Caenorhabditis elegans: one gene and its partners. The protein of the gene in region 3 purifies or fractionates together with the protein of the main gene of each other region. This does not show direct contact. Each region holds a gene or a part of one and is shown on either strand. Other genes may lie near its edges.

Region 1 (9,381 bases), 6.5 Mb from region 3:
AGGTTGAGACGAAAGTATCAGGCGGCCGGATGGCACAACCTGTGTTGAGGATGAGAAGTTATTAGAATGGTGGCCTCTAGAAGGAACCTGGACTAGAATAGAAGTCGTTCGTTGGGATGCACGGATGAAACAGAGCGCCATGGGCACAAGAACACGACTGAAGGCGCGCGCGCCGTCGCTCATACACTCACATACACATACACTGAGGGAGAAGGGGAGACACATTCGACGACCGCTCATATTGAGGGTGGAATAGGAGGACGAGGAGCGACGAAGAATGAGCGGGGCAAGAGGACGGATGGAGGAGGCGAGAGGAGGGCGCGCACACAGCCAAAAGGGGCGGGACGACGACTCCTCCCCGCCTCACGTTTCAGCAAGCTCTGGGCTTTAGCTAACAAATGGTGTCAATAGAGTACATTGAATGATCCCATCACAAATAGGCCTTGTTTGGAAGAATCGGAAAACATACTAACAGTACTTATTCCTACATTATATGAATAGTAGAAAAGCTAAAGTGTGGGAAAACATCAAAATTAAGATATTAATTCGCAAGTATATATTCTCGCAAATATCTAGGGAAGCGAATCTTCGTTCAGTTGAGAATTGAGTTTCAAAAGTAAGACAGCGATAGGAATAGCATGACGGTGTCATAAAAAGACAAAGCTGCAATAATTCCATTGAATATTATGATTTGGAAGAAGAAGAAGCATCGGCAAACATTCTTGTAATAAAAATCGCTTGAAATTTATACATTTTCAGTTTCTACAAATCTTTATATTTCTGCAAATCACGGAGGATTTGAAGTCAAATGTTACTGATACTTATTCCGAGCTGATTCGGGATGCGACGAATACCTATAGAGGTCCTGGTGTTCTCTGTGAGATTTCAATATTTCGTGCAACATGAAATAGCAATGATCGACTCAAAATGCCACGTCACGATAATTACATATACAAAGGCCATCTACAATCGTCGGCATTGTCGTAAAACTTTTTGTGTCATCGAGTTGTTAGACAAATATTTCCGCGGCGGTTCGGTTCGGGAGACCACCACCTCCACCACCGCAGACGGTATTGAATTGGAGGGGAGCAACACAAGGACACACGATGAATGGCCTGACGAAGAGGGGCACAATAGGGGCTCTCCTTCTCCGTCGCCGCCGCCGCAGTCGACAGTCTTTCTCTGTTTCTTTCCTGTCTTTTCCATCACTTTCCTCCGGACGTCGTCATCGTTGTCCCGGTCACTACCTTAACCACCAGGCTGTTTGTGTTCAATTACCTGCGGGCGTTTTGTGTATGTTCGCGTCTGTATGTGAGAGATGAGGATGAAAAAGACAGAAAGAGAGAGAGACTAAGAACACGCTGTAATTACACAGCAACCTCATCCTCTGGATAATACTGACCGCCAGTGTGTCGTGTCAACAAGTCGGCTTAAATTATGAAGTAATTAGTCGCTCGTTCGTGGGTTATAGAATGGACTGTCCAGAATGAATTGACACGACATACTTTTTAATAATTCTTTACAGATGAAGGAGAATTCAGTGGCCGATCCTACATTTCTTCCACGTGTTACAAAATGTCATTTTAGAACGCTCACTCTCACAGAAATAAAGCAAATTCACTTTCTAGACAAAGCGAGTCAAACGGCAACTTTCATCTTGAAGTCAGGTCCACACAAGTACAAAACTTCAGCCAAGCTATGGAAGTTTTAAAGTTTAAACCCTGGAATTTCACTAGATTGTAACCAGAACTATACTTTGCAGAGATCACTGGAAGAAAAAGCTTGAACTATTTAAATTTTTATGCGATATTTTCAAAATGAAGAATTGCGTCATTAAACTTGACTCCAGCAAAACGATCAAAAGTTTCCCAATTCAAACAAACAAAACGCTCTCGAAAAAAACGAGCCGATCATCTTGCATCTTCCTCTTTGTAGTCAAATTTGAATTCGCAATTTCTCACTTTGATAATATCGAAATATTTATAAAAATTTCAGACGTAATATTTTAAACAGATTTATCTTGAAAACTACTCACCTTCGGTAGTTGAAGCTCGCTGTCACTCAGATCTTCTCTAACGTCGCCGTGTATTGAGTGATCCGATCCATAATCGAGCTCGTCGTCCATGTCTCTGCTGAAATAAATAAAATTTAGATACATTTAAACTGTTATGCACAATGAAGACAAGGGAGAAAAGTTCAACAATGAATAAATATATTTTTCAATGATCGAAAAGAGTTTGAAGAAGGCGTTCAATATATCTCGCAACAATAACTATTTTAAACGAGTAGAAAATGTTCAAAGGACGGTAAATATGCTTTTCGCGCAATAAAACTCGAGAGCTGAAAGCAAAAAGTCGAGATTGAACAAAATAAGGTAATACAAATTTATCATAGCGCATTAGCTTGATTTTTCGAAAAAAAAAACATATAAAAGAATGCGAGGAAATAGTGGCCAGGTTTTTCTCAGTGAAAAACGCTTCCAAACAAAACCGTAAAATCGATTGGCCCAAAAAACAGATTTCAAACAGCGCGGTAGAAATGTTTTTGCAGTGGAGCGCACATTCGCTACCCAAAATGCGCGGCAAAACAAAGCGAAAAGATTTGGAAATAAAAAAAATTGACTTTCAATTCTTATTTTATTGTTTTATTTATTGATTATCACAATCTAAACGGATTTTCGATGTTATGAAACTTTAAATTCCCACCTAATCGCCTTAATTCTCTCCCTATTAAATCTTTAAACGTTTGTTCAGACAAAAAAACGATTCGCGGCGTTTCGTTTGAGCACGTTTACATTACTATTTTGACAAACAATTTCTTTCTACTTTCATAGTTTATTTATTGTTCTAATGCTGAGTTTTATCAGAAATGACCTCCAAGCGTCCTGGCGGGAGCTCGTTTCAACCAGAAGTGAAGCGAAAGCGTGAAAGTGACGAATTCGAGCAGTGTTACGTTGTAAGTTTTTCATATTATGATTTCAAGCTTTTAAAAATTGCATTTTTTATTTTTAATGATCACTAACCATTTATTTTCAGTCAAGATTCGAAAATGAACTTCCATCTGTACCAACGATTGATAAAACAGGATGGGCCAGGCCAGCAGTCGATAAAGATCTCGGAATTAGCAAAAGCATTGCGTGTCAGATCTTAGAGGTCGAAACGTATCATGAAGACGGCTCTGCAACATCTTACGACAGAACAAATGTGAAGTTGTATGGTGTAACCAAATCTGGAAATTCGATTTGTGTCATTGTGACTGACTACTTTCCACATTTTTATTTCCAGGTAATCTAAGCTTTAAAAAATAAGTATTGGTAATATTTCTTACAGGCACCACAAGGATTCGGTGTCGAGCACATTGGAACTGCACAATCTGCAATTTGCAATATGGTTGCTGCAGCAAAACGCCGAGGTGGTAGCGGTCAAGCTCAATTGCCTGGAAAAGTAGTTGATAATCTTGTTCATGTGGAGATAGTTCACGGAGAGAATCTTTATTACTTCCGCGGTGCTGATACGAAAGTTCCTTTTGTCAAGGTGTCAGGATCTACAGAAGCTCTTCACAAAGCGCGAATGGAATTGAAAAATGGAGTTAACTTGATGGGAAAGGGTCCTGTGAACGTTGGGAATTTATACGAGTCAAATATTAATGTGATTGTCATGTTCTTGGCGAAAACGAATATTGTTGGATGTGGCTGGATTGAGGTTTTGACAATATTAGTTTTTTTTTAATTCTTTATGATTTCAGATTCCTGCTGGAAAGTGCCGAATTCTTTCAAACAGTGAAAAGTCGTCTCGTTGTCAAATAGAAGTCACAGTTCCGGTCAAAAACCTGATTGTTCATGAAAGTGATGGTGAATGGGCTGGAATTGCTCCTATTCGGTAAGTTTGAAAGTTTGAACTTACTTTTGAAAAAATAACTTTTTTAGTACTTTGTCTCTGGATATCGAATGTATTGGTCGACGTGGAGTGTTTCCCGAAGCAATTAAAGATCCTATTATTCAAATAGCTAATCTTGTGAAAATCGAAGGTGAAGCAGAACCATTTGTTCGTAATTGTTTCGTTCTTGGAACATGTGCACCGGTCGTCGGTTCAAATATCATTCAATGTGTGAATGAAAAAGTTCTTCTCGAAAAGTGGGCTGAATTTGTTCGTGAAGTGGATCCCGACATTATCACTGGATATAACATTCTCAATTTTGATCTTCCATACATTCTGGATCGTGCTAAAGTTCTATCACTGCCACAAGTTTCTCATCTTGGTCGTCAGAAAGAAAAAGGCTCAGTTGTAAGAGATGCTGCAATATCATCGAAACAGATGGGAAGTCGAGTGAACAAGAGTATCGATATTCACGGAAGAATTATTTTTGATGTACTTCAAGTTGTACTTCGGGATTACAAACTCCGAAGTTATACACTCAATAGTGTCTCATATCAATTTTTATCCGAACAAAAAGAAGATGTGGAACATAATATTATTCCTGATTTACAACGAGGAGATGAACAAACTAGGAGGCGATTGGCTCAATATTGTTTGAAAGACGCATATCTTCCTCTTCGTCTGCTTGATAAATTAATGTCAATTATTAATTACATCGAAATGGCTAGAGTCACCGGAGTTCCTATGAATTTCTTACTGACAAAAGGTCAACAAATCAAGGTAAATCAAAATATATTTTAAATTATAATACTGAAATTGTTGTAGATTCTATCAATGATGCTACGAAGATGTAAGCAGAACAATTTCTTCTTACCGGTAATTGAAGCCAATTCTGGGGATGGTGAAGGATACGAAGGTGCTACTGTCATTGATCCGATTCGAGGATTTTACAATGAACCAATTGCAACACTTGATTTCGCTTCTCTATATCCATCCATTATGATTGCTCATAATCTCTGTTACACGACACTTTTAAAATCCCCACAAGGAGTTGAGAATGAGGATTATATTCGGACACCATCTGGCCAATATTTTGCAACCAAATCTAAGCGCCGTGGGCTTCTTCCCGAGATTCTCGAGGATATTCTGGCTGCAAGAAAACGAGCGAAGAACGATATGAAAAACGAGAAAGACGAGTTCAAAAGAATGGTTTACAATGGACGACAATTGGCGCTTAAAATCTCTGCAAATTCTGTTTATGGTTTCACTGGTGCAACTGTTGGAAAGTTGCCATGTCTCGAGATTTCTCAATCAGTTACAGCTTTCGGAAGAAAAATGATTGACATGACGAAACTCGAAGTGGAGAGAATTTACAAAAAAGGAGCTCTCGATGGAAAATGTCCAGCAGATGCGAAAGTTATTTATGGCGATACAGATTCTGTAATGGTGAAATTCGGTGTCGAAACTGTAGCTCAAGCAATGGAAATTGGACTCGATGCTGCTAAAGAAGTCAGCAAGATTTTCACTCCGCCGATCAAACTTGAATTCGAGAAAGTTTACTCCCCATATTTACTTATTAACAAAAAGAGATACGCTGGCCTTTACTTCACTAAACCGGATGTTCATGACAAGATGGATTGTAAAGGATTAGAAACTGTTCGCCGTGATAACTGCCCTCTGGTTGCAAAAGTTCTCGGTGTTTGCCTCGAGAAATTACTAATAGAAAGAGATCAACAATCTGCTTTGGATTTTGCGAAACGGACAATTAGTGACTTGCTCTGCAATAAAATTGATATCTCATTGTTGATTATCAGTAAGGAATTAACAAAGTCTGGAGATGTAAGTTCGATTTCAAAACCTTACGAAACTAATTGATTATGTTCAGAAATATCAAGCAAAGCAAGCTCACGTTGAGTTGGCGGCTCGTATGAAGAAAAGAGACGCTGGAAGTGCACCAAGACTTGGAGATAGAGTTCCATATGTTTTTGTCGCTGCTGCAAAAAATGTTCCGGCATACGAACGAGCTGAAGATCCAACTTTTGTACTTCAAAATAACATTCCATTGGACACCAAACACTACTTGACTAATCAACTCGCCAAACCACTTGCCAGAATTTTCGAGCCCATCTTGGGTGATAGAGCAGAAAAGATTCTGGTGGAAGGAGAACATACAAGAGTTCGTACAGTCGTTCAGAGTAAAGTTGGAGGTCTTGCAGCGTTCACAACGAAATCTGCAACTTGTCTTGGTTGCAAGAGTGTTTTACCAAGAGCAGAATCAGAGAACGCAGTTTGCAAACACTGTGAGCCGAAGCTTCCAACGATTTTTGCTTCTAGGTAATTAGAAATGCAATAATTGTTCTACTATATTTTTCATTTCAGAATGAACACTATGCACGAACTTGAAAACCATTTTGGTCGCCTCTGGACCGAATGCCAAAATTGTGCAAAGACTATGCAAGACAAAGTGAATTGCTCGGCTCGAGACTGTCCGATCTACTATATGAGGGAAAAAGTTCGAAACGAGCTATCGGAGGCAAGTGCCGTCATCGAACGATTTGGAGATCCTTGCTTCCAGGCACCTACTAAATGAATTAATTATGATCCCGGTTTATTTGTCTAATTATTATTGACTGTGAATGATCTTACCACACTATTCATCTCATCACACATTTTTCTTTATTACTGGTTATCTTATAAACTCGCGTTGATGATTAAAACATATGTTTTTAATTCTTTAAACTTTTTTGTAAGCGATAATCGCTTAAAATACTTGTCTGATATATTAAATTTGAATTTAAAATACCACAATTTTCAGATGATCACTCGAAAAGCAATATTCTTTTTAGCATTAGCGTCAATTATTCAAGCATCAGATGATTCCGAAGCTCCCGATAATAAAAAGTCTTCAATAAGATTCACTCCATCAGTTATTGATTCTTATAGAGAAAAAGTTCAAAAAATGTTCTACCACGCCTACAACGGATATTTGGATCATGCATTTCCACTAGATGAACTGAAACCAATAACATGCGTTGGACAAGACACCTGGGGATCATTCTCTCTTTCATTAATTGATGCTCTAGATACTCTTCTGGTGATGGGAAATACAACCGAATTCCGAAGAGCAGTGTCACTTGTTCTTGAGAAAGCTCGTGATGATGCTAATGTGAATGTTTCTGTTTTCGAGACGAATATCAGAGTTGTTGGCGGATTAATATCTGCACATATGCTAGCGGGAAGGCATAAAGGTAATTTAAATTTCACAAGGAATATTACTAAACCATCATAAGATTCATTCCAGATCTTGTCGTAGATTGGGAAGGTTATCCATGTGATAGTCCGCTTCTCAAATTAGCTGTTAAAATGGCTGATCGACTTATGCCTGCTTTCAATACAGAAACTGGAATGCCCTATGGAACTGTTAACTTGAAATATGGAGTTCATAAAGATGAAACACCAATTACTTGTACAGCTGGTGTGGGCACATTTCTTATTGGTAATTTTTAAGATTTTAATAATATCCGGCTAACTTCCTTTTTTGAAGAATTTGGTACCCTCTCACGTTTGACTGGCGATGACAAATACGAAAAAGTGGCTCTAAAAGCGTTGGATGCTTTATGGTCGACAAGATCACCAATCGGACTCGTGGGCAATCATATCAATGTTCAAACAGGACAATGGACGGCAACTGATTCTGGAATTGGTGCTGGCGTTGATAGTTATTTCGAGTATTTAGCAAAAGGAGCATATCTATTCAGAAGACCAAGTCTTATGAAACAATTTCATGAACATGCAACATCAATTAATAAACATGTTCGGAAAGGTGAATGGTTTATGTGGGTATCAATGGCCAAAGGATCTGTCTCCTTGCCAATTTTTCAATCTCTTGAAGCATTCTGGCCTGGAACTCTAACAATGGTTGGTGATGTTCAAGATGCATCAAGAATTATGTTAACATATTCTGAAGTTATACGAAAATACGGGTTCCCACCTGAATTTTATAACATTCATAATGAAGAGCCAGGAGAAAAACGAGCCGCATTTCCTTTACGGCCTGAAATGGTTGAATCATTGATGTATCTGTATAGAGCGACAAAGGATGAAACGTGGTTAGAACTTGGAGCTGAAATGATTGATGTTAGTTTTTTATTTTAAACTAAATCTTGAGCTTAATGCGTTTGAAAAAGTTTAAATTTCAGGCAATAGAATCATCAGCCCGAACTAAATGTGGCTATGCTACAATCAACAATGTAAAAGAGCATAGTATTGAAGATAGAATGGAGTCATTTTTCCTTGCTGAAACAACTAAATATCTTTATTTATTGTTCGATCCAACAAACTTCATTCATTCAAAAGGAGATCAAGCTAGAATATTGACGAGTCCAAAGAATTTGACTTGTGTGATCTATGGAGGAGGCTATATATTCAACACTGAAGCTCATCCAGTTGATCCAGGAATGTTGGATTGCTGTAGTGTACAAGCAAAACGGGATCAGGAAGTTGGTGTGAAACAAGTAAGATAGACTATAAATTTAACTTAATTTTAGTTTTTATTTTTAGGTGAACAATGGTGATGAGCATGAGAAAATGAATCGAACAGAAAAGGGCGGTGAAAAGTATTTCGAGAATCAATATGGAAAAAATGAAAATTTAATTGAATTCGAAGTTGATGAGAAACTGAAAAAAGAATCTGAAAAACGAAAGATTGAACTGGAAGCAGAAAAAGTGAAAGAAAATTCACATAAAGCAATGCTCAAAGTGCGAGAAATACTTGTAAGAGCTCATCAGAAGGATGAAGCAATGCAGCGAAATGGTGAAACATCTGATTCGGCTAGAAAACTGATGGATCAACTCTACAAAGCATACCCAAATCATACGGCAGAGTTGGAAAATTTGAATAAAGAAGCAATTATTGAATTTGAAGAACTTCAACATTTGGAGGATATTCGAGAACTTGTTAGAGAAATCCCGATACCTGAAGTTTTTTGTGAGAAATGCTGTGTCCCACTTCATGAAATTGTCGATTCGGTTGTACTTCGAGTGTTAATGGCCGATGTTTACGAATATCATTTTTATCCAACGAGAAAAGTAGGTCTAAAAAATGGGAATTGCTCGGGAAAAAAATTATTTCAAGTTTTTAATAATTTCAAAATCGAATTTTTTAAATTAGTGAAAGGATAACATTATTTTTCGCTTTTTCCGTTTTTTTTTCGATCACCTTTTTTAGGTGAATCCAGAACAAGAAAAAAAAAACGAAAACGGTTAAATCCTCAGCTCTAGTGTCATTTATCAGTGTGGTCCGACATCTCCCGTGATGCGCTCGTCACTATGAAAACGCATCCCGTGAGATGTCGGACCGTGAACATAAGAACAAAAAAAAATGACTTCGAATTGCATTTTTTCACAATTAAAAAAAAATTAGTTTGAAAAACAGTCTAGTATAATTATGATAACGACGATATTCGTTTAAATCCGATGTTTTCAATAATAATTTATTAATTGTTTC
Region 2 (8,229 bases), on a different chromosome or scaffold from region 3:
TGATTTATAGGCGGGAAGATGATCATTGGTGCAACGAGTTGCAGAGAAGATTGGGCTGAAAATTTATTAAAATTAAAGTTTAAAAATTTATTTCTTGAAGTATGTATAATATAAAGCATACTTTTATATGATAATGCTTGTTCAATAAAAAAGAGCCCAACGTATTTTATTGAACTTTCGTTGGTTCTGAAACAATCGTGATTCACATCTAGTTAAAAAAAAACCAGCTGACCAGTAAAGCAGAATTATGAGGGTTTACAAATATTTTGCAATGATTGAAATAATTATTCTAGGAAAACAATTTCGATATATACTTTTCCCTTCGTCTCGACCAAAAAGCTTTTGCAGTGTCGAAATCTTGCTGAAGGTTTTTTCTTGCTAAAGATTTCCAACTACGATATTGCCACCCTTTCGCTCCTGTTACAATGGATGTCAAAGTTTTTACATAAATTTGAAACGATACATGAAAACTTAAGCTAAAAAATTGATAAGTGTTGGTTTCAAATTTTCAAGACTTCGCTGCGGTTGCAAAAAATTCTTAGAAACTCAGAAACTCTGAAGATTTAATGACTTAAAAATCTGAATTCAAAAGTGTTCATCGTTGGTTTTCTATTTTATAACTTTCTTCTGAAAACTCACGTTTTAAGATTATCCGCCGTAATCATCTCGTTCGGCTGTTCGTCTTCCAAAAATCATCGATTTTGCCAACAACCTGAACAGGAAAAGCTTTCGAAATTTCGAATACGGAAAGAGCAGCCTATTGAAATGGAAGGGGTGATGGTGTTTCGGGTATTATTTGAATAGACCGTGTCACCTATTTTTCGGTTTTTCGATCGAAGCGGACAGAAAAAAGGGTTGGAGAAGAAGAATGCGTAAAACATGTAAATTTGTGTACAATTCCGTTTTGAAGTGAGAGAATGTGAAAAATTGAAGAGAATGGTTGCAGATGAATCATCCTGAAACTCACCCTTCTGTTTCTCTATTCTGCTTGTTTTTAATATTTGAACTACTTTATAGTTGATAACTCGTGATCAGTGATAAAAATTAATCATAGTTTAGATTTTCCAGTAAATTTCTATGCAGGCACAAACTCACCTCGCCTTCAAGGCAACCTACGCCTACCTCTTGCCACAAGAACCTACGGCTGAAGAAAACGTGAATGTTTTCCCTATTTGAGCTTAATTGAAATAAGAGAAGTAGAGTTCACACCAGGACTCACGATGAAATTATTTTTCATTATTCCTGAACATCTTAATGAACGATAAGCCCACATAGATAATTTACTACGTTGTACTATTTTGCTACGGACGTATTTTTACTACGTTATCCCATTTTATATTCTAGATATGAAAAAGAGTTTTTTTTTTAATACATTTTCATATCGTTTTTTTTTATTTTCTAGAAATTTATTCAATACGACGAAATGATCAGAACTTATTATGAACATTTGGCTAGATATAAAAAAACACGATATAATCTCTTGTTCTCTTGTAAAAATTCCAGAAACAATAAACAGTATTTGCCGGTTTTCACTATCTGTAATCATCGCTATAGTTTCTCACTATAGTATACTTCTCATAAGATTAATGAGATTACTTCTGAAATGCTCATAGTGGCTTCTCAGAAGCTTGAAGTAGTAATCTCAGAAGTAATCTCATTCAACGTAGTAACAGATCTAAATGCGGAACATGTACAGCATATATTATGCCAGAATTATGTCTAATGACTTAAAATCTGCCAAATCCATGTTTCAAGATTACAAAAGTTTTTTACAATAAACTTTTCAGAAATTTTCGATATTCTTTGGATTATAAAATTCAGCACTATTTTGTGAGTTTTTAAATTGTGTAGACTTGTGCCAACAACTAAAAATTGCTTTAGCTTTCATTTTAAAAATATAAATTTTAATAAAGAAAACAAAATAAAAACAGAAACAATGCGCTAAAAATTTATGTAGATACACGAGAACAGTAAAAGAAGGGGGACAAAGTCATCAATCCAAAAACTGGTCCTATATAATCTGAAAAAAAGAGAACATCTATATGAATAGACTAGTCGTTTTCAATATTCTGAAACTATTTTTGTGCAGAAACCGAAAATCAGTTTTCTGCAAAAATGGATTTTATCAAAAGATATGAAGGGAAAACAATCAAAAGTCGGAAGAAAAATGGAGGAAAAAGAACAATTTGAGTGATGTGGTATGTGTTCAGAAAGTATTGGGAGGAAAAATGAGAATGTGACTCAATCCAGATGGACTGATGAAAATTGATTGATAAAAAGAACAGACAGGGCAATCCTAGAGTAACAGGGAAAAAATAAAATAGAAACAACTAGAGAGGATCTAGAACTAAACCAACAATATAAATGATGACTAATCTAAAAATTTGGTAAAATGCATTGCTGTTTCATAGGCACCGAAGAAAACAAAACCACCGCCTGAAATCCACATTACACGAGGTACGACTCCAGAATAAAGCCCACGTACTCCATTTGATGTGTACACCTGAAATTAAAAAGAAATGGTTGGATAGAGGATAATTAGTTCAATTCTTAAAGCGATTTATTAAGGTGATAGATAAGCTTTGCCGCTTTTTCGCCAAAACTTTTATATGGTAGTTATGGAAAACTGTGAGTCAGGAGTGGGCGGCCATTGCCGTTCGGCAAATTGCTGGTTTGCCGATTTGCCGGAATTTTTGATTATCGGCAAATTGCCGATTTGCCGTTTGCCAAACATCAATTTGCCTGCCTTTTTAAAAAATGTTCCGTTTTTTCTAGATATTTTCGTAGAATTTTCTTATTTTTCAAAATAGATTTAAGAACATTCATAGGATGCGTACAATTTTGCCGATTAAAATTGAAATTCTGAAATTTCCAAAAAGAATGTACAAACCACAATTTGCCGAAAATCTTCGGTAAATGTCGTTTTTCCGCCAAAATTGGCAAATCGGCAAATTAATATAGGCAACTTAATATGTACACAACTGAAATTGGCAATAAATTTGATTCTTTCAACTGTTTTATTCTTCAGACTCACCTCTTTTAATGTGCTCAAAATACCAGGAGCTGGACCGTTTTTTGTGAGCATGATACGTGTCTTTGCCACGTCTAATGGTGTCGTTAAACCAGCTGCAATAAATCCAGCTACACTTCCACAAGCAGCTCCTTCCAATGGACTACAACGACCTGATTCCTGAAATATTTTGTGATTGTAGATTAAGATATTTAAAAAAAACTAACTTTTTTATTTGCCACTGCCCTCTTCAAAGCTTCCCAAATAGGAAACTGGATAATTGAAAAAGGAATTTCTCGAGCCACAGTGCTACCGTATCCTCGATAGAATCCACGTATTCCTTTAGTTTCCATTATTTCTTTGCATATTAACGTCAGTCGTTCATTTTTATTAACTTGTCCTCTTTGCTTACAAAGCTCTGTTGGTACTCTTACAGCACATGCTGCAATTTCAGCCAAACTTGCAGAAACAGCATCCACAAGAGCATTTCTTTCTTCAATTACTTGTTTCATTTGTCCATTAATGTATTTGTAAGTGAGGAAGAAAATGGCAGCTCCGGGTGCTGAGCCAACTAATACTGAGATCATTCCCCTGAAATAGAGAATCTAATCTACAGCTATTATGCAGAAAACTCAGAAAAATGCCGCTTTTGAAATCGGCGCTCCGGCCACGAGCTATGGGTCTCGTTAGGTATTCGGCGGCAAAACCGTGAATCAAACGTTTTCGATGAGTTTCACCGATTTTTGACTTTTAAAAGCTTTTTGGTTATGTTTCCAGATATGTTTAATGAGGTTTATGCCAAAATTGATTAAAAAAAGAAAATTACTTGAAAATTGGTGAAATTGGCAAAACTACTTTAAAACGTTTGGATTTACAGATTTGCCGCCAAATACCTAACGAGACCCTAGGTTCGGGGGCGGAGCGTTTTGTTTCCATTTCGAAAGTTTATTTTCTGCGTCCTCATTTATCTGAATTTTTGAATTTAATTTTGGGTTAAGCTCTCAAATGTCCGAAAACCAACTAATTATATCCATTTTTTCCAAGTATTCACCTATAAATATCTTTAAAACCTCCAGCTGCAATGAATCCTTGTTTAGATTGCATTCTTGATTTAATTGTATCCAATGGATATAATCCAATATCAACTGCTAAACCAGCTGTCGCCCCACACACGAGCCATCGTACCACCGATCCTTCTTCTGATGGCATCCTAAATTACTCCATATTTAAAATATCCAATTCATTCTAGAGGTACTACATCAGTCGACAAATTCGACTTCATGGGAAAGGAAGCAATGAAAACACATTTCTTATTTGCAATTTATTAAATTAAACAAAACTTTTAAAGACAACGTTTATAAAAGATAATCCAATAGTGAGCACTGATGAGAAAATGTGTACACGAATCATTGTTGAGTTGGAAGATAGCCAGTATTCTGAAATATGAACATAAGTTTTTTTTATTTTGCTTGAAACACATTCTGAAAGCAATGATTTCAACCATGTAAATGCGAGGATCAGGAAAAATAAAAGGAAGCACTCACGAAAATGAGACCAGGGATTTTGGATAAGTGAATAAATACAATAAAAAATATTGGCTTACCAATTAAATTCTTATTGAAGAATTGAAACGGGATTCACAACACAATTGTCAACAAATTCAATGAATTTTCATCGAATGTGCTCGAATTACAATTAATCATTTAAAATGTTTGGAAATTTTAGAAAACAAAATGTGAATTTCAGATCAAGAAAAAATTTCTGTTGAGAGGATTTTGCGGGGATTTTTTTTGACGATTCCGATTTGAACTCGATGCCACGTGGATGCTGCTGGACCTGTTGGAAAATACAATTGAAATGAGATAAAAAAATACAATAGAAAATATCAGCTATGCTTATTTCTTCACATTATCACTGACATTACAATTAATGCCTAAAACTTTTAAATTTTTTGACAAAAAGGATTAACAAATAATTTTCAAATTATCATTTCAGCTGAAACCTATCAAATTTCAAGACGTAAGTGAATAAACAAAACTACATTTAAAGGACAAAATATAGAATTAAACACATAGGAAGCTTAAATGATAAAAACAACTAACACCATTAAAAATCTATTTCAATCAAAAAAAATATCAATTTCACATTATAGAATCAATGCTTACCCAAACCCAAGCTTATTTTAAATGAAAATATTACAATTTTAATGTGCTCTCAATAAATACTAGCAAAATGTTACAAATTTCATAGCATACTTTTTTCGAAATACTCCCGATACAACTGAAATTTCGAAATGACCCAATACTTGAGGAGTTACATTCAAAACGATTTTAAATAGAACAATGAAAGGTAATTGAAAGAACAAATCTGAAAATCAATTAAAAAGTCAAAAACTTACAATTTTAGAGTACAAGTGAGCAGATCCCGTATGCAAGTGAGAATAAATCGAAATCGACCAGTGAACATTGAGAATGAAATTTAGAGATTATATAACATTTTTGGATCTGAAAAATTGAAAATTGTTTTGTGCAAAAGCAAGCATCGGCATTACCAAATTGTTGAAAAAGTGAAAATTGAAGAGTAAAATAGAAATAATCTTGAATTTGAAGAAAGTCGTGTTATTTAATAACGACGACGGCGTGGAGATGGTGACCGCGAGTATGAGCTAAAAAAATATTTTTTCAAAAAAAATTGTTGCTCCAAAACGAACCGTGAGCGAGTGCGACTGCGTCTTCTTCTTTTGCGATCTCTTTCGCGACTTCTTGAACGATCACGATGTGATTTTGAACGAGACGAATATCCTTTTGATTCAAGGCCTTTGAGTGTGTGCTGGAAAATATATAATTATGAAAAAAAATTGCGATTTACTTTGTATTTCTGTAAAGGTGGAGTATGGTCGTTGTGAAATTTTGTATCAAATGAAAGAAAAAAGCCATAATGACCATATTGAGATAACTGTTTAAAAACTTAATTAAATTTCTGAATTTTTGATGGTTTTTTTTTTCAAATTTGCATAAATGTTTAGATTCATCGGTTTTTCTTGATTTTTTCTTTGATATTTGATTTGAAACACCGTTTTTTTTAGATTTATAAATTAAATTTTAAATCACTGATATGTTAGCAAAAAAGTTTTGTTTCAGTAAATTTATTTCTTATCAATTAAGTTTTTCTTACAGAGACATAACTAATAAATTGACAAACGATGAAAAATTTTTTATCGAGTTTTTTATCGAAAAATCATAAAAAATCGAACATTTTTTAACGGTCATTAAGGTCCATTTTCTATCATTTAAACTTCAATGGAAATTAGAGTTTTGCTCAAGAAGGATTTTTTTTAAACGTACTTCCAATCCATAAACCAATTGTCTGCATCTTTCATCATGTCCAATTCGACTGTTTTTAATCAATTGAATTGCTGTCAATATAGTCTCAGATGCTCCTTTAATATCTCCAACAGATGCATCAGTTATTGCTCGAGCTATAGCTGACGATGATACAGTTTGATTTCTTGTCATTACATCTTCGAACTCAGCGTCAGATAAAACTGTTCCTTGAAGTCCGGGGAACATCTGAAAATAATAAAATTATCATTCAAAATTATTTTTAGTTTTCAAAAAACCATTACCTGTGGATTGACATGGACTGGTGGAAGACCGTTGATAGGAGGACGCATAGCTGTATTCATTTGCATAAGTGGCTGAACACCCATTGAACCAAGTTGTGGTGGTCTAGAACTATTTGGAAATGAAAAAGAATGATAGAGGATTATTATACGATTACCTATTCTGGAATTGATTATTCATTGGAGGTGGTGCATTCATTCCCATCATTGGTTGTATTCCCATTGATGTTTGCATCATTGGTCGAACTTGTTGTCCCATCATCATTTGAGGTTGTTGTTGAATTTGTTGATTCATTCCACCTAATGGTCCATTTCCTAACATTGTTTGTTGTGGCACAGGAGCACGGTTCATTAATGGAACTTGTTGTCCGTTGATTTGTAATCGCATTTGAGGAGCTTGATTTAGATTGCTTGGCAGAGATGTAGGTTGGCTCATCAAAGGAGTTGGTCGAACTTGCTGCATCATGAGAGGTGGAGGTCCAGATCTACCAGAGACACTTGTTCCAGTTCGACCAGTTTGCCCTCCAGCTCCAATACGAATAGTTCCCATATTGACACATCCTTCTTCGAAACCCTGCCAAATTAAAAATGTTCATAATTAGTATAACTTTTCGAAAACTTTATTAAAAAGTGATAAATTGTTCGGATGAACTTTTAACGCACACCCTTCAGAAGGTGGACGCCGGTAAGACTCCGAATCAATATTGCACCTGCTACCAGCTCATGATCATAAAGACAAAACACCGCTGAGTTTCTAGGCGCGGGCGGGAATCGATCACGCGGACTGCTGACTGACAGCCAACTGCGCAACCGACTGCGCTTCCCTCGACGACCACAAGTACCAAGTGGAAAACGTTTATATCGGTGCGCCGTGGAGTAGCAGAGAGTCACAGCACTAATTTCAACGATAGTGTTATATTCTCTTTTTTTACCTTTTTCTTGACGTCTGGACGGGTCTGATTTTTTGCTTGCGCATCTTCCAGCTTTGCCTGATTCGTTTTATTGTACGACAAAACAGTTGGACTTTGGCCATGGATAGTTTTAGTTGGGAGAATCTCCATAGTTTGTTTTACCGCTGCAATGAAATAAAGTTTTTAGAAATATCTTGTTAGTTTCTACTAACCAGCATCAGAATTCAAAACCAATAAAGCATATCCCTTGCTTTGTCCATTCGTTCTGTTCTCGAAAAACTTCATGTCAGCGAATTGAGATCGTGCAAGGCCGGTGGATTGAAGAGCTTTCTGGACAAAATTTATTGAAGACATTCAGTTTTACAGTCACTTACCAATAAATCAGCATCTGTAGTATACCAGAGAAGGTTTCCCACGTAGCAGCAATATTTTCTTCCTTCCGAAGACGTCGCTGGTTTTGCACCAATTCCAGCAGTTGGAGCAGTCACAGTGGTGATTGTTGGTGAAACAGGTTTTGCTGATTCCGTCTAAAATAAAGAATTATAAGGATTTAATAAGAATTCATTAGAAAACTCACTGAATTTGTGGGTGCAATCGCTTCATCGTACAGATCGTCAATATCTTCTTCCTTGAGCTCTTTTCTGGATCAAAAAATAAATTTTTAGCATTTTCTTTTTTCATTAAAG
Region 3 (7,281 bases):
AAGATATTTCCAGAACAATTGTGGCAATCGAGTCTGATCAGCTTCTTCTTTGGGATCTCAGAACTCAATCTGTAATTCATTCTGTGCATGCTCCGAATGTATTCCAAATTTTCTATATGAATAAGGAGGCATTGATAGGTGTGATCTACCGACAAGTAGACTCGGCGGAGCAGAAAATCGCAAGACTTACCATCTACAGTATCACTGATTTCAGTGTCCAGTACAGTTTTGAATACCCATGCAGGCTTTTCAAGGAGTGTGCTGTGATGAGGGTAAGTTTTGAAATATAATAGTAGAGTTAGGCACAAAAATGTTTTAATTTAGGATGGAATTACTGGAGTGGTAATTACACTTTTCAAGGGACACGATAGTCTTTTGGTTTTTGATGCAGTTGAGAAGACGCAAAAGATCAAGTTTCGGCCGAGGCAGTCGAAAAAGCAGAAAGACGTGATGATTAATAAAATTATTGCGATGCCATCCAACAGTAATCAGGTAAAGAAAAAATGAATTCGCAATAAAAGTCGAGGTAGGCACGGCTGCCTGCAGGCATAACTCGTTTTTAAAAAGATTAACATTTATTCTGCCTATGTGAGATAACTTTCTTCTCAGAAAAGGTGGTGTTGAAAGTTTGAACAAAAATCGTTGCTATCGAGGCGCAGAAAATTGTGTACTTTTTAAAATCGGAGCGCGCTCCACGGCCAAATAAATACGCTCCGCCCCTAAACGGTGGGTCTCGTTAGGTATTGTAGGCAAATGCAGAAATTCAAAAATTTTGAAACAATCTCAAACAGAAAAAAAATATGCTACCGTAATTCTACACAAGTTCCCAAAAATCCACTATAGATTTTTCGTAAATCTACAGTAGGCTTCCGTAAATCGACAACAGGTTCCTGTAAACCAACATTTTCTGCGTCCTCATAATATTACAAAACTATTTTCTCTTAAAGTACCACATTTAAAGTCTAGAAAAATATTCTCCCTGGTCAAAGCTTTACGAGAATTCGTTTTTTTTTTCCTTTTTCCAACTCCAAAAACTTTTCAGATAATAGTCGTAGAAAGTGACAATAAATCAAGCGTCTGGGATATTCGAGTCAGAAAATTCCATCGATCCCTCACTCAATTCAACGGAGTTGTGTCGAATGACGGAAAATTGGGATTATTTGCACCTGCAAAAGGCGGTCTTTTTGTTCGTTTCTCAATGTTCACCCTCAAATTATAGTTTTTCTTTAAATTTAAAGGTAATCGATATGCGGAGCGGTCAAGTTGCAAAAACTCTAATCGGAAATGTGACAGAAGGAGTGAACGATGTTACTTGCTCATTTTCTCCGAATGCTCAATACGTGTTCTACAATCACAGTGGACATAAAACATTGAGGTTTAATACGGGAACACAAAATTCCGAGAATGCGTATTACACAACATATTTGATGCGCAGTTTATCTCGTAGCAAAAACTACAGTAACTCTTAAAATATATACTGCAGCGCTTGTGTCGATTTACTGGCTCCATTTTCGAGACTAATTTCTGTTCCAATTTTCTTCTAATTTTCGCGTTATTTTCTCAATTTTTGAGCTTAATTTTAATATTCTATCGATAAATAAATGATTCTCGTAAATTGACACGAGCGCTACAGTAGTCATTTAAAGAAGTACTGTAGTTTTTGCTACGAGATATTTTGCGCGTCAAATATGTTGTGCGATACGCATTTTCAGAATTTCGTGTTCCCGTAATAAAAACAACTATATTATCCATTCGTTATTCAATAATCGCTGGAAATTTTCAGAGTTTTCCGAGTCCTCGATTGTCAATTAATTGGAACTTTCCGGCCTCATGCCACGATAACCTGTTGGAGTTACGATCCAGATGGATTTTTCGTTATTATTGGTACACAGAAAATCAAAATCAGAGCGCAATCGCGCTCCATCGGCAAATAAAAACGCCCCGCCTCCAGCCGTTGGGTCTCGTTGGGTATTGGCGGCAAATCACGTAAATTCAAACGATTTCAATTATTTTTTGGCGGTTTTCATAGCATTTTCTACTCTTTTACACAAGTTGAGCAGAGAAAAGTTTTTTAAAAATGTAATTGAGAACGTTATAACATTAGTTTCGGCATAAAAAATAATTAAAACCAAAAAACAACGAAAATAATAACAGAAATCGTTTGAATATACTGTTCTCCCGCCAATACTCAACGAGACCCAAAAATTTGGTGGTGGAGCGCGCTTGCACTTCGATTTCAAAAAGCGCATTTTTCTGCGTCTTCATAATAAAGCAATTAAATAATTTTCAACTTTCCAGGTGCACAAGATGGATCCCTTCTCACAGTTGTTCTCAATGATCCGATGGTAAAAGAAGAAACTCTCAACAAAATCGCCCTTCTCCCTTGTCGACGTCACCTTGCAGAATTTCAGCATATTCATGTTCCAGAGGAAGCCGAATTGGACACATTTGATTTGAGAAATCTGGGAGCCGTCACCGCCGCGGTTACCCGCTTCAAATCTCTATTGGATAACAAAAAAGGAGGAGGGGTTACAAAGAAGTCACATGTGTGCAGTATAATGTGAAATGTTTTTTAAAAATTTTGCTCGTAAAAATTTGTCTTTATTTTGAGTTCGTCCTGATTTGCAGAGCTCTTATACTAAATGAATTGAATTGCAAACAATTGCGAATGATGATATCCACAGAAAAAAGGATAGTGAAATGGAGATTCTTTCAAGTGGGGGTGGGATGAGAAGGAGATGGTGGTGGGGGAAGGGTAACAATTTTAATGATAAACTGGAATAAAACTTGACTATTGGTGTTGGCATCTGACGCCTTGTCCGTGATGTCCTCCGTGTTGTTCTTCGTCCGAATCTTCATTGTAAGCGTCTCCGCCACGTCCTCGGCTGTACTTCTTCTCGTCATATTCCATAAGAGAAACTTCTGCGGCAGCTGGGGTGACATTGACAACTTTTGAGGTAGGGAAGCAGCTTTTCAGAACCTGGAATAAAGAAAATTTTAGATAAATAAAACGTAACATACAAATCCTATTCTAATCAATTTATAAACATAAATTTTTGTTGCTTTTTTAAAACGGAAATAAAGTCAGTAAATGAAACAAAACCTTAAAAAACAGTTCGAACAATACATTAAGAACAATAAATCTTTAATAAAAATACTTACGGCATAAGCTTTTTCATCATCGAGGAAATGCTCCTTTGGAAATTCGACTTCAAATTCAACGAACAAGTTTCCTTTGAGTTCTGGGTATTTCTTATTTGGCATTCCTTTTCCAAGAACTCCTCTGATGACTCCTGGCTTGATAACATCTCCTTGTTTACTAGAAAGAACCAAAGGATGGCCATCAAGATGTTTGATAAGGAAATTATAGCCGCAAAGTGCCTCATTCAGTGATAGTTTCCTGAAAACAGTAAAACTTAATTTTTAAAAATCGATAAAAAGTTATTACTTGGTCATGTGAAGATCATCTCCATCTCTCTTGAAAATATCATGATCTTTCTGTTGAATAACAATGACAACATCTCCTGGCTCACCATCTGGCTAAAAGATATTTTTATTTAGAAATTTTTTTAAATCAATTATCTTCACATGCACTTACGTCAGATTGGTCTCCATCTCCTTTGAATGTAATTTTATCGTTATGTTTCATGCCAGGAAGAACGTGAACCTCCAATATTTTCGAAACGTTTTCGTACTTTTCTCCATGGCATCCTTTGCACTTATCACCTGCTGGAACTTTGCCTCCAGAACCCTTACAAGCATCACAGTGAACCTGCATTTGTTGGAGCATTCCGGGGCCAATTTGCTGAACGATCGTCTTCACTCCACGACCACGGCATGCATCACACTTATATTTTTCTCCCTTCTTTCCACCTGACCCTTCGCAAGTTTTACAGAGTGCCTTTTTGGAAAGCTTCAGCTTTGATGTTTTTCCGACGTAAAGCTCTTCGAGTGTAACATTGAGGGGATGAACAGTATCTTGGAATTTCCGCCGACGTGGGCCACCTCGTCCCATTCCACCCATTCCACCGAACAAGCCACCAAATGGATGACCACCCATATCATCATCGTCGTCATCGTCATCACCGCCAGCACCGCCGAAGAAGTGAGAGAACAGACCTCCAGGAAAGCCTCCTCCACCACCACCAGCTCCTCCTCCTTGAACTCCTTCCAAACCTCTGGCGTCATACAAGCGTCGTTTTTCAGGGCTCGAAAGAACTTCATAGGCAAAACTGATCTCTTTGAATTTATCTCCATGGTCCGGGTTTTTATCTGGATGGTATTCTTTAGCAAGTTTGAAGTAAGATTTCTTAATGTCGGCCTGCGAAGCGTCTGGTCTCACATTGAGTGTTGTGTATAAAGTGGTGTCCACGGGACCACTACTTCCACCTCCAAACATATTACCTGAAAAAAAATGAATATTAAAATGCGGACATGACAGTGAAAAATTGAGAGAAACGGACGGAGAATGCGCGAGATGTTTGAAAAATACAACTTTTAATAATTCAATAATGTAAATTATTGAATTATTTTTTAGCAATTTAAACAAAATATTTAGAAATCAATTTTCTTACACAACGAACGACACCAACGAGCAAGTGAAAACAAAAACTGAATTTTGTGAACAAGCATCGAACGTTAATTAATGAGAACTGAATAAAAAACGCGGAAAATCGAGAAATTGAGCAAACGCGCGTCAAATCGATAAAAAACCACCGAATTTGGGACTTTGTACTGCAGAGAAAATTCTCGATAAAACCAACGCTGGTCGCGAAACGCGCCAGCATCCAATAACGCGTCAGCCGCAACTTCGCTTGCCCCATTCTCGTGAGCGCACGGCAGAGAGACTGAAGACGTGACAACACCAATACTCCAATAATCTTAGCACGCACACAACTACAATCTATATAAATACTGCATTCTAACTAATAAAAAAGCCAATGCTACTATTACAAGCTATATTTAAAATATTCATAAATTCTAAATAATCCATAAACTTTAAAATTATGAGTGAAAAGTTGCCACCAGGTTGGGGTTCTGTTTTTGGACATTTTTCACATAATATTATCAGGTACACTATGCGCAGTCTGTGACGACATTGCAACTGGCAAACATTACAGCGTTGCTTCATGCAATGGATGCAAAACTTTTTTTCGTCGGGCTCTTGTGGTAAATTTAAATAAGAATAGACCTAGTTGAAATGAATCTGAAAATATTGATTTTTCTCTCAATTAAAATGTTTCAAATTGATATCTAATCACAAAATGTTGTAAGATCAATTTAACAAGCATCAAACATCACCCTTTTTTTAGAATAACCGAGAATTCGTGTGTCAAGGGAATAAAGATTGTCCAGTTAACAAAGGAGTTCGATGCGCGTGTCGTTATTGTCGACTTCAAAAATGTTTGGCCGTTGGAATGGATAAGAATTGTAAGTTTTTGGTATACTTTGAGATTATGGAAGGATCCTAGGGTACATGGTACATCGATTAGTAAAGCCGTAGAAGCAACCCGAAATAAATAAAAAATCACCTGCCATTTTCCACGGCCGAATATGTATAAATAAATATTAAATTGAAAAAATTAGAAAACACTTTTCTGTTGAAATATATATTTTTCTTACAATTAGATCAATTATAGAATAAAAAAGTATTATTCAGACGCGAAATTTGGCGAATTTTCCCTCTCTGCCGGTCTCGGCACGATAAATGTTTGATAAATATAAAAATATATGCGCCTTTAAAGAGTACTGTAGCTTTAAACTTTGCTGATGAATTTTTATCAATTTTTCTCCGATTTTCTATGAAAAATATAATTTTGCAATTGGTAAAAATATTAAAAACACATAAATTTGTGAGAAAAACTATTCAAAATCAATGAAAATTCCACAATAGCGAGTTCAAACTACAGTACTCTTCAAAGGCGCACACCTTTTCGCATTGATCAAAAAACTGTCGCGTCGAGACCAGGGTCACCGTATTTTTGAGTTTAAATAAGGAGAACAATTTTTTAAGAGCCGTTAATTAAGAGGCTCTAGATAAAATTACAAATTTTGAAAACCAATTTTGAAATTTTTCCAGTTTCTCATCAATCTAGAAGTTACAAAATTTCATAGAACAATATACAATTATATTTCAATTTAATTTTTTTTAAAATCTGAATCTATTCAGCAATTCAAAACGACCGTGATAGAATTGGATACACAAAACGAAAAAGAAGACATGATGACAATGATATGGAAGGAGGTGTTCATCATTCAGAACATATCAGAGATGGATCTTCAGGAAGTCCACAAATGAATGATGAGAGCCCCGAGAGTATGGATATGAAGGATATTAAAATTGATTTGGTAACTTTTAAATAGAAATTTCCAAAAACAATGCAATGCATAATTTCAGAATTGTCTGGATCCAATTGCTGATAGGCTTACAACGTTGGAAAATAACTTCACACTACTTTTGAGTAGATGCGCCGATTTGCATTCCTATGCAACGTTAGAAGATGCTCTCAATGCTCCAAGTCGATTTATGCAACCTATTTCTTGTGAAGTGAGTTGAAGAAATGATTTATAAAGTAGCGTCAATAGATGTTTGGTATTGTTTATGTGCATTAAAATAGTTTCTTTTAATTTTGAAAGTCGACCAAAAAATTTCAAATGTTTCTGAAAATTTTGGCATTTTACCAAAACTTGACTGAAAATTTCAAAAAATCCAGAAAATTTGGTCATATTGGTCTATTATAAATGAATTAAATTCAGAACCCCAATGGTCATATACTGTTAAAAATTTGCATAAGTATTTAAATTTTTGTAATATGAAAAATGTATAAAATCACGTCTAACAGCTTGAGCTAAAAATTTTAAAATTTTCATGAAATCTACTATTATAAAAATAAGACTGAACGAATGATTGGGATTTTTTCAAAATTGGAAAATTCACTTTTTTTGGTACAAAAATACGCCGAAGTTTATTAAAATTTACTTTTTAATTTTAGTTCCAAATTCGATTTATTTTAAAACTTTACAAAAAATTATTTTCCCAATTTTTTGGAATTCGTCAATCAAAAAAATTCCAATTTTATGTTTAAAATATATTTAAAATATTCATCTTCCAACATTGTAGATGCTCAAATATGCGACAGTGCATTAGATTTCTTGAAAAGTGCCGCAAACTTAGTTTTCACCGCTTTCTGACTTTTTTTAGATCTATTTCCAAATTTCCACAATACTTACAACTTATTTCAGTGGTCAGACAATGTAGTTCTCACAAATCGAGATGATAAA
Region 4 (7,733 bases), on a different chromosome or scaffold from region 3:
ATGCTTATGCTTATGGAGCTGCTGCTTATCCAACTGCATATTATGGATGGGGATCTAATAAGGTAATAAGATATCAGTTAGCATTCAATATCTAAATATCTATAAATTCAGGGACAACAAGCTCCATCTTCTGCTCCAACACAGAAATTGACAAATAATCAGTAAAGAGATATTTCATTTTGGAATATGTGTACTATATGAACCACCGAATAAACTGTTTCCATTTTAGTTGTGTTAATGTTATTTATTTTTAATGTGTCTTTACCGTATGGTTTGATTATCAAGAAGGTTTTTCTATAGAGTTCAAAAAGCAGCATGCAAAAAATGAATCTGGAGTTTGAAACACATTTCATTTGGATCATGTCCGAGGATTTTTGAGGTTTAGGTGAATTTCATAGCTGTTCTCAAAGATTGAACTCACATTCGTTTTTTTTTAATGCTAATTATGTATAACAGAGTAAATCTTTAAGAAATGAAGTAATTCAGGAATATTTAATAACGGTAATTTTAATACGGTTTCATAGTTAATATAATTGTGTTCCAATTCCCCATCTCCAATAATTCGTCTAAACCAAACAGTTAGTTAGAGAGTTCAAGGTGTGCCTGAAATGACAGTCCATACCTTTTTAAGCAAACATCATTCGAAGTATTTTATCGTATGTGTGATTCACATAAAACTCGTCGTCATTCTTTTTTCTCTTATCATTCCATTTCAACTTCCACATTTCTTTCGAAACTGCACCGATAAAGAATTGGCATAAAAGTCTACCATCTTTCCGTTTTCGTTTCGAGTTTCTAATTCGCAGCTTTTCATCAAATAAATAATGGTTCACGTCATTGAAAATCCAGTGAGTCATTAGTTTATGAGCTTATTTGTTCTAAAGTAACTATTTTCAGCCAATTCCATTGACTACACCAATCTATGAGGGAATGAGAGAACATTCATCTGTGGAAATTCATGGAGAAGTATTTCAAGGTCCACAGGGGTTAGTCAAATTCAAAAATTAATTATTTTAGAATCAGGGTAATTTGTTTTAATTACCATATTCCAAATTTTTCGAGTTTCACGGGTGTGCACCTTTAAAGAGTACGGTAATTTTCAATGATTTCTGAACCCATTTTCGAATAAAAACGTATTTTTCCTTTTGAAAAACTTTAATACTAAAACAGTTTGAGATCACGGGAGAGGGGTTATTAAGGAACCACCATTTCATGAGAATGCCTACTTTCTGGCGCGAAAATAGCGACAGCAGAGAGAGTGAAGAGAGTGCCTTCGCTACGAGATATTCCCGCACCAAAACGGTAGGCATTCTCATGATCTGATGGTTTCGTAATAGAAGTTACAGTAATCTTCAAAGGCACTCGTTTCCATTTAACAAAATATCGTCGTGGCGAGACCTGAAGCCGTATTTTAAGAAAAGAAATCACGACATTTTGCACTTGAGTAATAGATAACCTTTTCAATATTACAGAGGATTCACAGTCGAATTTCCCACCAAAAATGGAGTTGCTCTTCATATATCGGTTCGAATGGGTTCATATGGTCAAAATGTGATTGTATTTAATCATTTACAAAGAGGAAGATGGCATCGAGAAGAACATCATCAGAATACAATCATGTTTGGCCGACCATTTTGTATGAGAATTCATAATGAGCACAGAAAATATTCGGTTGGTTCTTCTATTGTTCTGTAATCCACAGGGTCTCATTTGAGGCAAACTCGGCCGTGTGGATTTACGAGATGGTCTCAAAAACGTTCAAAAACTCTCCCGGCTTCTCATCCATGTTCGAGTAATAACGTCGATCAGAGCCATATTCAGTAGACGTTTAAAAATGAGAATTTCGCCACATCTTACACGCAGGGGTCTCGCCACGCGAAGTGACTGTATATCGTGTCGAGCTGCTCGTAAATTGACACGAGCTACAGTAACTCGGTTTCAGCGTGGCGAGACCCATGCGCGTAAAATATGATGAAATTCGCAACTGTAGATGCCTACGTAATAAAACAAATTTAGAAGTTCTAAGTAGATTTTCTTTTTCGTAAATATTGTGAATACATATTACCTTTTTGCGTAAAAAAACAATTTTCAACCCAAAATCAAGATATCGGGTCCTGAAACTTCTCAGCTACCGTACCCACGAGTGTGAAAGACTTTATGTTAAAACCTAATTTCTCTAATTATTTGAGTTTAGAATATCAGATTATTGAACACAGATAGTTTTTTTTTATTCAAACAATATTCTCGTAAAAACAATCAATTTAATTCCAGATCCACGTGGACGGACATCACATCGGACATTATCATCATCATAAATGCCCAAAACGAATCGTTGCAATGACTGTTCGAGGAGATCTTCGAGTTGGAAAAATTCATTTCGAAAACTTCAAACATCATAACGGAGGAGGTTGGTTTTTATCTTAATATTCTGGGGATTTTTTTTTGTTTTTTGATTTCCAATCTTAATAATTCTAGGTACTGAAATCGGTGTAATGCAAATGCCTGTTGCTCCAACTCCGATCGTTGTTGCTCAACCACCGCCTCCAATGATTGTTCCCCAACCACAGATTGTTCCGGTTGTTCAGCAAATTATGCAACCAATGGTTCAACCCATATATCCAAGTGTTCAACCAATCGTGTATCCAACTGCTACTCCAATCATCTATACTCAACCTGAAGTTATCTACATGGACGGTTATCATCACCACCGTCACCATCACTATTGAAATTTGTACTTATTGTGAAAATGAATGAATAAATGAACATGACAAATTGATAGGGACGCACCGTTCATCTAATGTTCATAACTGAGACATGAATATTGAGCACTGCAGAAAAAGTTTGATGACAGAAACAAAAAAAAAAGTACATAGTACTACTGAATTTGAGTTGGTCAAGAGTCAAGAATGATTAAGGCTTTCAAGAATAAATGAATAAATGAAGAAAAAACAATATAACGAGCTAAAATGTGATGGGAACGGAAACAAGAGTTATGGAGGAGAAACAAGAAATAATATGAAGGGATGAGGAAGATTTAGAGAAGATATTACTTGGACTAGAAGATCATTTCTTATTTTTAACCATTTGAACGAGATACTTGAAACGACGAATGCAGGCTTTTTTGGACTTTGTGCCAACTTCTGTTGAGATCTTTTCCCACCGCTCGGGATCACTTGACTTATGCTTCTTGATAGCGTCCTCTAAAGTTTTCTGTTCGGTTGCTGACCAGACATCCTCATCTGGTAGCGCAGTTCCTAGCTGATTTTGAGTAGTTGATGGTAGCTTGACGTTCATCGTTTGAACAGCTTTGCATTGCTTGATAACCTGTTTTTCAGTTTTTGGTGGTAAACCCGTAGAATCCTTGCGATGCTCGTTAATGTAATCGGCAATTTGAACCCATCTCTCCACGGTTCCAGGTGGGAATGTGTTTGAAGCCTTTAAAAATATGAAAATTAATTAATGATTTCCAATCGTTTATGTCTTACCTTAACCAATAATTGAATCTCTTCACTAGTCCATGTCTCCTTGTCGGCTTGCTTTTCATTTTCTTTGTTCTTATCCTCAGTGATTGTGACCTTTGCTCCAGCAGCTTCTTTCTTCAGAATTTCAGCATCTGTTAGCGCAGTTTGAATTTCAGAAGCAATTGAAAGTGATTCGACCTTCTCGCACAGCTCTCTGAGTTGATCAACAGTGAACCCAATGCAAATCCGCTCAATTCTTTCCATTTCAGTGAGCTTATCGCGAGGATTCTCCGTCCAGTGGCCAGCTTCATCAGCGAGTTTCTTCAGACGCTTACGCTGCTGAGACATAGCTTTCTTGGCAATATCACGCTCTTTCTTTTCTCTCTCCTGAAAATAATAGTTAGTATTTAAAAATCGACAATATTCTGGTGTATTGTGCTCACTCTTTCTTCCTTTGCTTTTCTGTCAGCTTCCTCTTTCTGCTTAGCTTCGGCTTCTTCCTTTTCACGCTTCTCACGGTCGATAGCTTCTTGCTTTTCACGGATGGCTCTTTGCTTATCTTCCTTTGCTTTATCTTTTTTCTAAAATTTAAAATTGAAAATCCGGCAAAGTTTAGGCAAAGTTTATAGACTTACCGCTTGCTGTTCCTTCTTGAACTTGATAATTCTAGGATCCTTAGCATAAGCTATATCAACCAACTTTCTAATTCTCTTCGCCTCTTCTTTCCGCCGTCTTTCTCTTTCTGCCTTATTCTGTTTCTCCATCTCTCGTCTTTCGTACCGATCTTCTCCTCTTTCCTTGTCTTCTTCGTCCAAATACGAGAACTCGCGCCATGACTGGAAGTTAAACCAAAAATCGTAGAAATTCTCGACATCCTCCCGGGTCGCATCTGATTTACCAAGTTCTGGCACTGGCTTGATATTGGACCATCTGGAGTTTAATTGGAAAACTGGAGCAAGTTCGTTATAAAAGTTATTATGGTTGATTGATTTCTCATTTGGAATAATATCGTTGAATTTATGATCGACCGAATCGAAAGCTTGACGTTTGACGTCAGACATTCCAACTTGTTCATAAGCTTTTGTGATACAAGTAAAGTATTCTTCCTTCTCCATAACAATTCCACGATGCTTCTTCTTGTCCGGGTGATGCTTCAAAACCTTTTGACGATCTGAAATAATTCTCTTCAAAAAATTCTCACTTCATTTTAACTTACAACAGAAACGAATTTCGTCAGATGTAGCTTGCCATCTGAGCTTCGACAATCCTAAAACTTTGTAGTGATCCTGATTTTTGCAGTCATTTGGATCCAGCTTCATCAAGTACTTTTCATATTTTTCATTATCAGCATCAAAAAGATCTTTTCTCAATTCAGCTGGCTCTTCAGACGACTTTTTTCTTTGCTGTTCCGTAACAGGCTTTGCAACAGGAGAGTTTTTATAGATTGGAAGCGTACAGTGGCCCAGTGTGAGTTTATCTCGAATAAGGCGAGTCTGAAAATGTCAGTTAAGAAATATTTGCGGACATAGGTGATAGTAAACTCACTTCATAGCATATTCCGGCTGGCTCAAAAGCTCTGCTTCGAGCTGTGAATCCATAAATTGCAACTTGTAAATTGCCCGTAGTCATCTATAATTATTAAATTATTTTGAGCCTACTTTAGTCCTAAAACGAAATAAAAGAACATAATCAGCCTAGAAATTTCTGTTTTCTTTTTAAATCGCGTGACCACAGTTGTTCATAAAAGATTTTCAGCAACGAAAGAGAAGAAAAAGGGACATAATCTGAGAAATAAAGCTGAAAAACTACTGAAAATAATTGCGGGGGATTTACGAAAGAAGAAATCGTGCCATGGTTGCAAAATGTCGAGTGCGGCGCGGTTTTAACCGAGTCACAACATAAATTATGGAGACGGAGACACAATGCAAACGCGCTTCGCTGGTCTTTTTTGTTTTTTTTTCTTGTAACTTAAAATGGAAACCTGGAGTGATTTGGATTCATTTTAATTGTTTTTCAGCTTTGTAAGCTCCGCTTTGTACGCGATTGTATGAAATAAAACATGTTATAATTTCAAGTTATATCCAAAATAAGGTTTTCAGATGTCAGAGTCATCGTCAAACTTGAATCCAGATGGAACTGAGTTTCCAGACCCTAATGACGTGCCACCACCATCGGAAGATCAATTGACTGAAGAGGTATGCTGAAATATTACATTTGTAAAAATTATTAACAATCTCCATGTTCAGGATCTATTCCGGATGCGTTCTCTGACAATCAATTCGAAAAAAGGACGTAAGTTTTTTTTCATCGCTTGAAGTTGTTTGGAAAGATAATTATTTTTAAAATATTTAATATTTTTTTAGTTTCAGTTGTTGGTGGTGCAAGTGAGACAGCCGAGCAGTCCATCATATCACTCGCAGATTCGACTTCAAATTTTGATGAGCATGTTGGAGATGATGCCGAGTTGGATTATGAGCTGGAACAAGCTCCTGAAGCAACAGAAGATGGTGCAGTGGTGAACAATCCTGTTTGTGGAGGGTACCATTTCGGAAGGAAAAGAGCAGATGACTTCGTCCCAAATGCCAATACAGGTTTCTTAAAACTCCAGTTCGATGTAACACTGATATCTATATTCTATAATTACAGTAACAGTGCTCAAATGGCCTACAAATCTGGCGATTCCTCCACGCAACCCCGTGCTGAGCGATTCTGATGAAGAATGGAAGAAAGCGATTCTCGACTCCACCATTTATCTCATCGGTACAGCTCACTTTTCAAAAGAGTCGCAGGAAGACGTATCCAACACAATTCGTGCTGTGCAACCTGATTTTGTCATGCTTGAGCTGTGTCCATCACGAATTTCAATCATATCGATGGATGAGGCTCGGCTTTTGAGCGAAGCGAAAGATCTCAACTCTCAAAAAATTATTCAGACCATGAAACAAGTGAGTTCTCATATTTTTGTTGTTGTAATGTTGTAATATTTTCAACTTTTTTAAGAACGGCGCGATTCAAGGAATTCTGCACGTTCTTCTCCTGTCAATGTCAGCGCATGTAACACGTGAACTTTCCATGGCTCCCGGAGGAGAATTCCGTGCTGCTCATCGTGCAGCAGTTGCAACTGAGGTTTGAGTATTTAAAAAGTTTTATTTACAAAGTAACTATTTCAGAATTGTCGTGTAGTTCTCGGTGATCGTCCTATTCAAGTTACACTTCAACGTGCACTGGCTTCTCTCTCCATCTGGCAAAAAATTCGCTTCTTCTTCCACGTTGCATTTTCACATCGTGAGAAGATAACTGCAGAAGAGGTATTTAATTATTCAACCTTTTCCAAAAATATTCCAAAATTATAGGTGGAACGATGCAAGCAACGTGACCTTCTGGAGCAACTTCTCGCCGAGATGGCTGATGATTTCCCACAACTATCCCAAATCTTTGTGGAAGAGCGTGATGCCTACATGACGCATGCTTTGCATATGCTCGTACACCGGAACTCAGTCGAAAAACGTGCACAATGGCTTCGTGGAACAACTGGGCAACAATTTCAACCGTTGACAGTTGTTGCTGTCGTTGGAATCGGACATACTCCAGGAATTGTTAACAAATGGAATACAAATATTGATTTTGATCCACTTATGAACATCCCACCACCAAGCCTCGGAACAAAGGTAAATTAATCTGAAGTTATTTTAATTCTTTCATTTCTTTATTTCCAGGTTTTCTCCACTGGCGTCCGTATTGTTGTCTGGGGATCTTTGGGATATTTGGCTTATCGTGGAGGACGTGCTATCTTCAATCGTGTTAGCACATTCATAGAGTCTCGTTGGTAGGTTGGAAATTTTTGTTTAAAATTTAGTTTTGGGAATGTTGAAATTAAACGATGAAATTAAACGTGAATTTTGCAAAATCAAGGTCGCACAGAGAGAGGCAGCGCGTAGTTTTGCAAGCCTGTGGCATTGTTTTCCACCGTTTTTTGGTGGTTTTTTTTCGATAAGTTCTCAATTTTACTGGTTTCACTATTTTTTCTAATGAAAATGTTACCTAATTCAATTCTCATACGATTATGAGGAAATTTCATGTTAGATTTGTTGTAAAAACGAAGTATTCTCACAATCTTATGGGAATTGAATTAGATACATAATATTTTTATTCAAAAAAAAAGAAGGAAAAACCGTACCACAGGGATGAGAAATTACGCGAATTACCAACTCCCCATTCAAAGAATGAAATAATAGCAAACCTAATCTCATTTTCGTGCTTCTCCCGTCTTCT

The links.
Region 1: the proteins of dnj-19 (region 3) and pold-1 fractionate together in Caenorhabditis elegans (co-fractionation; one large-scale study listed by BioGRID). This does not show direct contact.
Region 2: the proteins of dnj-19 (region 3) and slc-25A26 fractionate together in Caenorhabditis elegans (co-fractionation; one large-scale study listed by BioGRID). This does not show direct contact.
Region 4: the proteins of dnj-19 (region 3) and dnj-11 fractionate together in Caenorhabditis elegans (co-fractionation; one large-scale study listed by BioGRID). This does not show direct contact.

The regions. Positions count from the first base shown.
Region 1 is NC_003283.11:12,038,742-12,048,122, forward strand, and holds pold-1 (DNA polymerase delta catalytic subunit), read left to right. Parts: upstream 1-2,814; 5' UTR 2,815-2,868; coding exon 2,869-2,955; intron 2,956-3,035; coding exon 3,036-3,284; intron 3,285-3,329; coding exon 3,330-3,701; intron 3,702-3,744; coding exon 3,745-3,878; intron 3,879-3,925; coding exon 3,926-4,655; intron 4,656-4,700; coding exon 4,701-5,714; intron 5,715-5,760; coding exon 5,761-6,209; intron 6,210-6,254; coding exon 6,255-6,465; 3' UTR 6,466-6,606; downstream 6,607-9,381. Other genes in the region: Protein kup-1, read right to left, coding at 2,036-2,125; F10C2.5 (alpha-1,2-Mannosidase), read left to right, coding at 6,691-7,123, 7,177-7,371, 7,420-8,012, 8,075-8,389, 8,436-8,963. UniProt on the Caenorhabditis elegans protein: Possesses two enzymatic activities: DNA synthesis (polymerase) and an exonucleolytic activity that degrades single stranded DNA in the 3'- to 5'-direction.
Region 2 is NC_003282.8:8,926,433-8,934,661, reverse strand, and holds slc-25A26 (Mitochondrial carrier protein PET8), read right to left. Parts: upstream 4,221-8,229; 5' UTR 4,220-4,220; coding exon 4,062-4,219; intron 3,602-4,061; coding exon 3,238-3,601; intron 3,191-3,237; coding exon 3,035-3,190; intron 2,504-3,034; coding exon 2,372-2,503; 3' UTR 1,871-2,371; downstream 1-1,870. Other genes in the region: D1046.4 (MFS domain-containing protein), read right to left, coding at 1-55, 640-665; D1046.18 (uncharacterized protein), read right to left, coding at 4,340-4,420; cfim-2 (RRM domain-containing protein), read right to left, coding at 5,633-5,675, 5,721-5,839, 6,355-6,579, 6,636-6,744, 6,791-7,206, 7,565-7,707, 7,756-7,873, 7,918-8,070 and 1 more.
Region 3 is NC_003283.11:5,500,447-5,507,727, forward strand, and holds dnj-19 (DNaJ domain (prokaryotic heat shock protein)), read right to left. Parts: upstream 4,407-7,281; 5' UTR 4,400-4,406; coding exon 3,599-4,399; intron 3,541-3,598; coding exon 3,449-3,540; intron 3,401-3,448; coding exon 3,163-3,400; intron 2,981-3,162; coding exon 2,792-2,980; 3' UTR 2,587-2,791; downstream 1-2,586. Other genes in the region: T05C3.2 (NACHT domain-containing protein), read left to right, coding at 14-272, 325-492, 1,043-1,186, 1,239-1,375, 1,784-1,884, 2,299-2,564; Nuclear hormone receptor family member nhr-47, read left to right, coding at 5,007-5,028, 5,072-5,169, 5,313-5,430, 6,170-6,348, 6,398-6,547, 7,243-7,281.
Region 4 is NC_003282.8:6,583,228-6,590,960, reverse strand, and holds dnj-11 (DnaJ homolog subfamily C member 2), read right to left. Parts: upstream 5,091-7,733; coding exon 5,007-5,090; intron 4,955-5,006; coding exon 4,678-4,954; intron 4,633-4,677; coding exon 4,097-4,632; intron 4,043-4,096; coding exon 3,905-4,042; intron 3,849-3,904; coding exon 3,486-3,848; intron 3,436-3,485; coding exon 3,064-3,435; 3' UTR 2,775-3,063; downstream 1-2,774. Other genes in the region: nspb-1 (Nematode Specific Peptide family, group B), read left to right, coding at 1-62, 112-165; lec-11 (Galectin), read left to right, coding at 825-848, 898-986, 1,473-1,671, 2,272-2,407, 2,476-2,726; F38A5.2 (TraB domain-containing protein), read left to right, coding at 5,561-5,656, 5,708-5,753, 5,825-6,052, 6,108-6,406, 6,462-6,587, 6,632-6,769, 6,815-7,129, 7,178-7,287.